Linked DNA regions of Nothobranchius furzeri. The protein of the gene in region 1 interacts with the protein of each later gene in a biochemical or structural test. Links are inferred from orthologs where the notes say so. Each region holds a gene or a part of one and is shown on either strand. Other genes may lie near its edges.

The links. The genes of interacting proteins can lie anywhere in the genome.
Region 2: of the proteins of dyrk1ab (region 1) and lin52, one has a biochemical effect on the other in vitro, tested with the Homo sapiens proteins (3 studies listed by BioGRID). The link is inferred for Nothobranchius furzeri from reciprocal best matches to the Homo sapiens genes DYRK1A and LIN52.

The regions. Positions count from the first base shown.
Region 1 is NC_091753.1:50,166,775-50,171,073, reverse strand, and holds the start of dyrk1ab (dual-specificity tyrosine-(Y)-phosphorylation regulated kinase 1A, b), read right to left. Parts: upstream 2,803-4,299; 5' UTR 2,665-2,802; intron 2,222-2,664; exon of another isoform or gene 2,062-2,221; intron 1,130-2,061; 5' UTR 1,073-1,129; coding exon 1,063-1,072; intron 1-1,062. UniProt on the Homo sapiens protein: Dual-specificity kinase which possesses both serine/threonine and tyrosine kinase activities. Exhibits a substrate preference for proline at position P+1 and arginine at position P-3.
Region 2 is NC_091758.1:32,967,785-32,971,869, forward strand, and holds the start of lin52 (protein lin-52 homolog), read left to right. Parts: upstream 1-1,168; 5' UTR 1,169-1,251; coding exon 1,252-1,270; intron 1,271-2,512; coding exon 2,513-2,587; intron 2,588-2,662; coding exon 2,663-2,700; intron 2,701-2,794; coding exon 2,795-2,861; intron 2,862-3,043; coding exon 3,044-3,127; intron 3,128-4,085.

The DNA of each region.
Region 1 (4,299 bases):
CATGTTAACCAAATCTAAATTGCATGAAAAGGACAGCAAAAATAAAACAGCAGCAATGTATCAACCTTTGTGAAGAAAAGGGAGAAAACGGTAGGTTTAACAGTGAGAAGGGGCGAGAATACAGCATCTCCACACTGTACAGTGAATCATCCTTCATTTTAAGCCAGAAGGAATCAAAAAATTATTAAATAGCATGTTCAGCTATCAGCATCTCTCACCAGACAACACAATTCACCAGCGCTACACAGTAACCACTATTCAGAATCCCAGCAACAGCACCTAATTAGCATAGCCTATCACCACAGAGATACAGCGTGATTTGGCAAGCCCATCAATGCACAGACCAATCACAACGCAGTATGCAAATAGCCTACTTTTGTTGCCAGGGCAGAGCTGCTCCCATTTTCCAATGAGAAAACAAGAAATAAACAAGAAATAAAACTGAACTTTGGCACACTTAGACGTTGCTTTCAACACAAGAGCTTGACAGTAAAATAGCTGCACAGCCTAAAACCTGCACTTCATCTGAGAGCGTTAGAAAGCTGACCCAGCTTTGGAAAAGCAGAAAATACACATCCACTGACAGAAACAAGAGGAACTGTAAAGTGATAGAGCACAGACAACAAGGTATTTGAGAGCCAAGACGCATCTCTTTTTTCAGCCACTATAAATATGTTAAAATACACATTTATACCTTTTCAGAATGTAATTTAAACAAATTAAAAAGTGAATTACACTTAAGATTATATTAAATATTTGTTCATCTTATGAGCTCTAAATATATCCTTATTATCCATCATGTCTTTGTTACTGTTTATCCTGCTGTGTAAAATAAATGTTACCATTATAACCTAAATAACTAAATAAAAACTACCATCAACAATTTAAAAATAATAACTACAGTCCCGGGCAGTTCAGATTGTGTGACTTGGTCCTGCTCATGATGACTCATAGATGTTAAGTCTTGAGGCCAAATTCAAAACAGCAACATAAGTTAGAAAAGATCATAAGTGAACTAGTTTTCCCCAGCAAAGGGTTAAAGCCTAATGTACAGCTGCTAACCTGGATGCATCTTCTGTTTAATTTCATATCATCCTGGGAGGAGAGTCCAGCAGCAAACCACAACCCACTACAAAGAATAAAAACACTTTATTATAATTTTGCATTTTGGGTGGGATTTAACATCACTGAGATTAAACCTGAGTTAAGAATCAGTGACAGATGGCCACCAAAGATGATAAGGGACCCCCAAAAACTTGTAAAAGTGAGCTGGATGTGAATGCTGTGGAAATAAAACAACTTAAAGCATATTTTAAAAATGTGTGTTAAAAGTTTTAAATTTCAGGTTTTAACTATGAGCTGCTTGAGATTTTAATGAATTAAAATTCAATCGCAAAGCTGTAAAACGGTTAAAAAAATAAATTAAACAAATCAGAATTCACATTGTTGTGGGCCTTGAGGCTTTAGCTTCTTTTAGTATACTCTAGGGTAAAAATGTTATTTAAACGAGAATTTTAGCTTTAAATATACACCAATAAAATAGACAACTGTTCGTCTGAACACAACTATATTTAGTGTACAGGACTATGTAATTTTACAAAGAACTGGAGGGAAGTAACTAGTTTGAGAGTGCTTTACTTCTATTAGACAGTCTTGAGACTTGATTTTATTTAAAACGTTTAAACTAATTGTAATACAAGTAAAATAATAGTGGTACAAAATGCCAATTTTTAGCACACTTGTAGCTCTTTAGTCTTTTCCTAAACGTCTGCTTTATCTTATTCTTCAGTACTAAGAAATGAACAGTTCCTTTCTTGGCTCTGGTCATTATGGCATCTGTGGGCCTATTTATGTGTAAATATATCGACAGCTAGCTTGATATTAGAAGCCGAATCGTACAAAAGGATGCTTAAAGATCTCTGTAACAAGCCCCGTGTGTCATCCTCTCACGCCCAACTGATTAGATTCATTCCAAAGATGGATCAAACATAACCGATCCAAAACAATTAAATGCTAAACGTTCGCGGGGAATAAATATATACCGAGTCGGTCTGTACTTACAGATGATAAGGTAGATCTCGTCATGGTTGGAATTTAGAAAGCATATTCAGTGTTAATTTTCGTCTTCTCTTGCTTACATATTGTTCGTGAGGCAGTCCAAATCCTCAAATAGATGATATTCCCCGTCACGTTACCGCTAGCGGACTAACTAGCTATAACGCTGTCGTCGTTACCCTGAAAACTGCGGGGCAGATGAGCATATCTCTCACCAGCCCGACGTTAGCTAGTGACGCTGTGTGCAGCCAGCGGGCTATGAGGCCCATGCAGTAGATCAAATCGGGGAGGTAAGCTAACACGGCTTCAATCATACAATGACAGGACCCAATATAGCACGGTTAGCAGGAACATTAACACCGTGCCATCACGACTCTCCGTCCAAACTCACAGTCAGCTGGAAATTCCTTCACGTTCAGCATTAAAACCCGTCTCTTGACCTACTGACTGTAAGCAAACGTTAACCCTGGCTCCACAAAATCTCTTAGCCGCCACAACTTCACTACCGCCTCCATCATTGTTAACCATTCACGCTACATGGGACATATATACGTACGAGAAAAGCCAAATTAACGCAAATGTGAAATAGAACAGTTTGGATCTGCTTACCTCTAATGGCACGATCTTCATTTAAAGTCCAATAACCTGTATGATGAGGAAACTTATCCAGCTTGATTCTCCACCTCCCTGCACGGTTAGCGAGTAAATCCAATCCCCCGTCCTCTGGCCGGCTAAAATAACTCACCAGTCACATCTAGTACGCGCTTCATTGTCCAAGCCTTGCTGAGCAACATCCGTGATCGAAGTAATTTCATCAAACGTTACTATCAGCTGATGACCAACAACATGCTAACTAGCACGGGTAACTTACTGGCTAACCTTAGCTGGTTCACAAAATGAAGGCAGCTAACATCAGCTAGCTCCTTTGACTTAGCCTGAAGCTAACGATTCTAGCCACCGCTAAATAAACGTTATGCCAAATTCTGATTTAACGCTCGTCTTTGCGACTGAAATGTCGGTCACCTCGATGAGCGGCGACAACGCGATTACATCTAGTGCATTTTAAACACTAAGCAGAAGCCGTGTCCTCTGATAAATTTTGGTTTGGAATTTTGTGTCAATTTTCACAAAATGGCGCGCGGTCCAAACCTGCGCAGTGAACCGGCCCGGTGGACCAGAGACACGGACAACTGAGTTAGTGCGGCACCGCCTAATTATTTCAACTAGGTTAAAACGTCGGGCTCTTTGTCTTCTTAATAATCCGATCCACTAGACGCATCTCGATATCCAAAAACGTCAAAAATATATCCACTGACAGCATTATTCCGGCGGGAAGGGAGAACATTTGAAAAGACTGAGCTGGGGGGGAAAAAAACCCTCCTGACAAAATGGCGATGCTCTAGCTTGTTGCTATGGAAACTGTCAATCAAAAAAGAAAAAAAAAGAGAAAGAATACCCGGATGTGCCAATGACGAATAAATTCGGAGCTGGCCAGAGTTACAGCGCACACAGGAGTCCAGCGGTGCCCCTCTCCGTGTTTTTAACCTCATTCGGCCTGTTGCTATTTTTTTTGGATGACGATGCTTATTTTATTCCGATAATATTTCACTATGTGGTGGTTCCTCCTCAGCATATTTTAAATCCAATAATGATGATGATGATGATGAAAATAATAATAATAATAATAATAATAATAATAATAGTTATATTTAAGTAATATTATCTCAGCAAAACAAATAAATGCTGAAAATTCTATTTTTAATAAACAATTAGCCTATTAAGTACCAACACAAATGACTGTTATTGACAATATTGAAATTATTAGCACGTAAATTAAATTTGAACAGGATCATCAAATCTGCAGTCCTTGTTCTGTACAAAAAATTTAATAATTAAAACTAATTTAAGCTACAAGTTTCAGATGACTTCTAACAAATGGAAATGTTATGTTATTATATTCTAATTTCTAACCATCCATAAATGTTTTTTTAGCTAAAGGGTAAAATGTTGATATAAACCAAGTTTATGTGAAACCAAATAGCTATCTATAACTGTATTTTTGTTTGTTTTCCCATGAGTACATTATACCAGAGGTGTAGAATGGAGCATGGGCACAATTATGGTGTGAGGACGGGGGGACATGTCCCCTACATTTTCCCATAAGGCAGTTTCGATTCATTAATGATTACTACCTCTTCTAGTTTTACTGAAATGAGGTAATGCTGTGTTATTTTTATTTTAATG
Region 2 (4,085 bases), on another chromosome or scaffold:
GTTCTTTGTCTAAATAGATTTTTACAAGACGGACTTAGTAGAAACTCTTGCTCTATTTTTTAAAACACTTGTTTCGTTGAAAGAATGGAGAATGTGCGCCCTCTGCTGGCAAATAACAGAACAACACAGGTTTCCAACTGCATGCAGACAAGAAGGGAGTATTTGCTGCCCTCTAGTGTCTGAAATTTGATACTGCACATCCGATTTTTAAATCCATTTAGAAGGGAATATTTAGCCTCTTTAGATTTTTCAAAAATTCAATCACATATAGTTGCTAGCTCCGCTGGCAATAAATAGAACGACACTCTAATTTCCAACTGAAATCTGGTACTGCACGTTCCTTTTAGACATTCTGAAGAGAATATTTAGCCTCTTATTTTAATAAAGCTTAAAAAAAATCCATCTCTGTTTTAACTGCTAATAGCCCCAGCTATAGCTAATAGCTAAAATTTTGTTGTACACAGAAAAATAAAATAGATTTGCTGATTTTTAATTTTTAAGTAGTTTGTACAAGTGAACTAGGCCTGGGACGATAACAGATTTTGCAGGACAATATATTGTCCAACAAATTATTGCCAATAAACAATATTATTGTTGACATTATCGAGACCAAAATAATCACTTATATAATTTTAATATATCATAATAATGCAAGTACACCCTTTAAAATGCAGCAAATAAAACTCTTGTTAACATTAGAATGTTCAGAATCGAACTTCTAAATAAATGAATAAAACAAACAAACAAAAAAAAGAAATAAATAAAACGGACTTTCACTCACTGTTAGAAAATATTGCACCAAAAACCATAAAATAGATCCTGTATTGGGTCATCAAAGAAAAAGGGTTGGGAACCACTGACCCAGACTCTTCGAACTTGGACCAAATTGTTGTACACAGATAGCAAAATCTGTTCAACATAGATTGTGATATGTAAAACCACAGATCTATTTGTAAAAACACCGATTTTCTTTTCTTTCACAAATGTTGGAATGAAATTGTGTAAAATTGTACAAAATGTTGAAATGTATCTTGCCTGGCCATGGAACTCGCTGTGTGCTTAGCACCCCTAAACCTCTGATGCTAGGATCGCCCCTGACACTTATTATAAAATTATTAGTTTATTCATTTTACCCCCAGGAACACGGCTTTGGTGTGTAAGAGTGACCTCTTGTGGTGTGTTTGTGAATTTACAAGGCTTTGTCAACATTGACTCCTATTCGTTGTCACGGGTCACGTGATTATTGTGAAGATGGCGTCTCCGAATGGAGGTAAATTTTAATTCCTTACACAGATACGCTGTTAAAAAATGTAAAATTTAACACTTTAAATCACACAAATTATTCCACGAATGTATTGATGATGTAGCTGAACACCCAGAATTCAGAACTACACATATCAGCGTTGTAGTCCGACTTCTCGGAGGTGGTTTTGTTTGACTGAAGGCTCCACTAGCCCCGGTGTTGTTAGTCCACCAACGTTCAAGGAAGAACAGTAGACAGCTGGCTGCAGACCTTCCGTAACTCCTGATATTTTAAATACTACTAGCTTTTGAGTTGCCTCTTTGTTAAATACTGGCCTAATAATTAATATTTACGACATTTTTCCAACATTTTGAGGCATTATTTGTTTCACATCAACATATTTTGAAAGGTTTTTGAAAGGTTATATATATATATATATATATATATATATATATATATATATATATATATATATATATATATATATATATATATATATATATGTACACACACACACACTATGTAGGGTCATGTATTAGGAAGCATAATGCTAACACAAATTGTTACACTAAATATTGGTTTTAAGAATAGTTTTTGAATAATCAGCACACAGTTGTTGTCACAGCCTAGCAGAAATGGTTGTATAGGGACTTGAATCAAGCAACATTTAAAAATGAAAGGTATGATAAATAAACTAAACCTCCCAAATATTAGTAATTTTTTTAAGAACAGCTGATTAATCAGTATTTATCTTGTACACATATTTTGTTTTAATACAGCCAACATATTGTATTAACTGTTGTGGTTACATTTTGACATTTGTTTGGCTGTAGTCATATGGGCCATTCCCATCTGTACCGGGTCGGTCCGGGCCGGGTAGCGTTGGTTGTTTACATATCTGGGTGGCCTGGTATTTTTCCGGACCAACCAAGGCTCATTCTCAGCCCTCTTCTCGAGGGGGTCTGCTTCAGGCCGACCAGGGCCAACACACCCACTGCTGACAGCAAATTCACACCTTCCATTAGAGCAAGCCTCTGATTGGTGGGTAGAATCAGCCCACATGGGCGTAAGACAAGGATGTGTGGAATCAACCGGGCCAGGATGGGGCCGACTGGGGCTACCCGGCCCGGGCCGACCCGGTACAGATGGGAATGGTCCATAAGTCACACATTTTACTTGTATTTACATCAAGAAGATCACATTTTGTTCTAAAGCTCTGAAATTTCTGCCTGAATTCTGAACATAATTTTACTTCCTTTTCTTTGCCAGGTGATGATTTTGAAAGCTCTTTGCTTAGTTTAGAAAAGCTGGACAGAGCGTCACCAGACCTGTGGCCTGAGCAGTGTAAGTTTTCATCTCCTCTGTGCTTCTTTATGGTCCCACAGTTTAACCTTATCTGTCCTGTCATTTCTCACACAGTACCCGGAGTTGCAGAATTTGCTGCATCCTATAAAAACGTAAGATACGTTTTTTGTCATTAACTGAGATTAATACATTAAATAATCATTTAGATTTGGCATTGCCGTATAATATCATTTATTTTTATTACAGCCCATTACAAGCTCACCCCCTAAGTGGATGGCTGAATTGGAAAGCGAGGACATCGAGATGTTAAAAGGTTGGTACAATTGTTTTTTTTTTTAATATATGTTTAATTAGAAAGATTTTCTCTGTGCCTGCAGCGTTTCATGTTAAAACTGTTGTACTGGTTAGTGTTTCCATAAATATATAATCTTGTCAAGGAGAAACTGAGTTGATCAAACTGGAGCTTAAAATCTTTGCCTTGTAATCACTCTGCAGAGCTGGGTAGTCTGACAACAGCTAACCTGATGGAGAAGGTCAAAGGACTTCAGAACCTGGCTTACCAGCTGGGTTTAGAGGAGTGTAAGTACAAAACACACAAACAACATGAAAACATAGGCTGTGATGTGTTCGTGTAGTTTTTAGTTTTCCCAATCAGCTGTTTACGTCTATCACCACCAGGTGGTGCTAGTAGCCTTTCCACTACTACGTTTAGTTGCAGAATCAGATTTACTTTTTGTTTGTTCAAAATAGGCTAAAATCACATGGATGTTATTTATTATTCAAAATCAGAGTAGATGTTATTGAAAGTGCAATTGTAATTTAGAGTCTGCATAAAACAGGTTGGCCGTAAGATCTTTAAAACAAGGATTTAGGTCAGTCTTGTTAAATGTAAACAAGTAAGAAATGAGTGCATGCCACCAAGAGCTCACACAAGCAAATGCTCAAGAATATGATGGATGCACAAGCTCTTGTTTTAATCCATTCCCTCCCGCCTCCATTGTAATAATCCTTCTGGAGTGTGGATTAGAGAGATGTAGCTAAGTGCTGATATTATCCTAAAAGAAGATAAAAATGTTTTTAATGTTTCTAGCGTAAGAGAATCGTTGTACACCTCCTCTTCAGCGACATGTGTAAATAAACTGAAATGGTAGCAAATTGTGTAAAATAATGTGAGTTTAAACAGCAGGGTAGATGGCAGCCATGATGTCGGTTCTTTAATGATAATAAATAGTTTGTAGAAGGTTTAATAAAACTTTAATGCCACTTTAACAAGAAAATGTTCATCTATAATAAAAAAATCACCCCAGAGTGATCTACATTTGGTGGTAAAGCAAATCAATATTTTAATGTTGCAGAAATCAGATTGATTCATTTTGTGAAATAATTAATTTTAGAAATGATTTGTTTGCCTTGCCTCCAGCAGAGGAAGTGTGTAGTGGCTCTGGTATGAAGACGCTAGCTGTCATAGGTGCAGGGCCGCAGCCTCTGCAGTCATGTCATGTACTCGGGGATGACGGGACACAATGATGGTTATTAT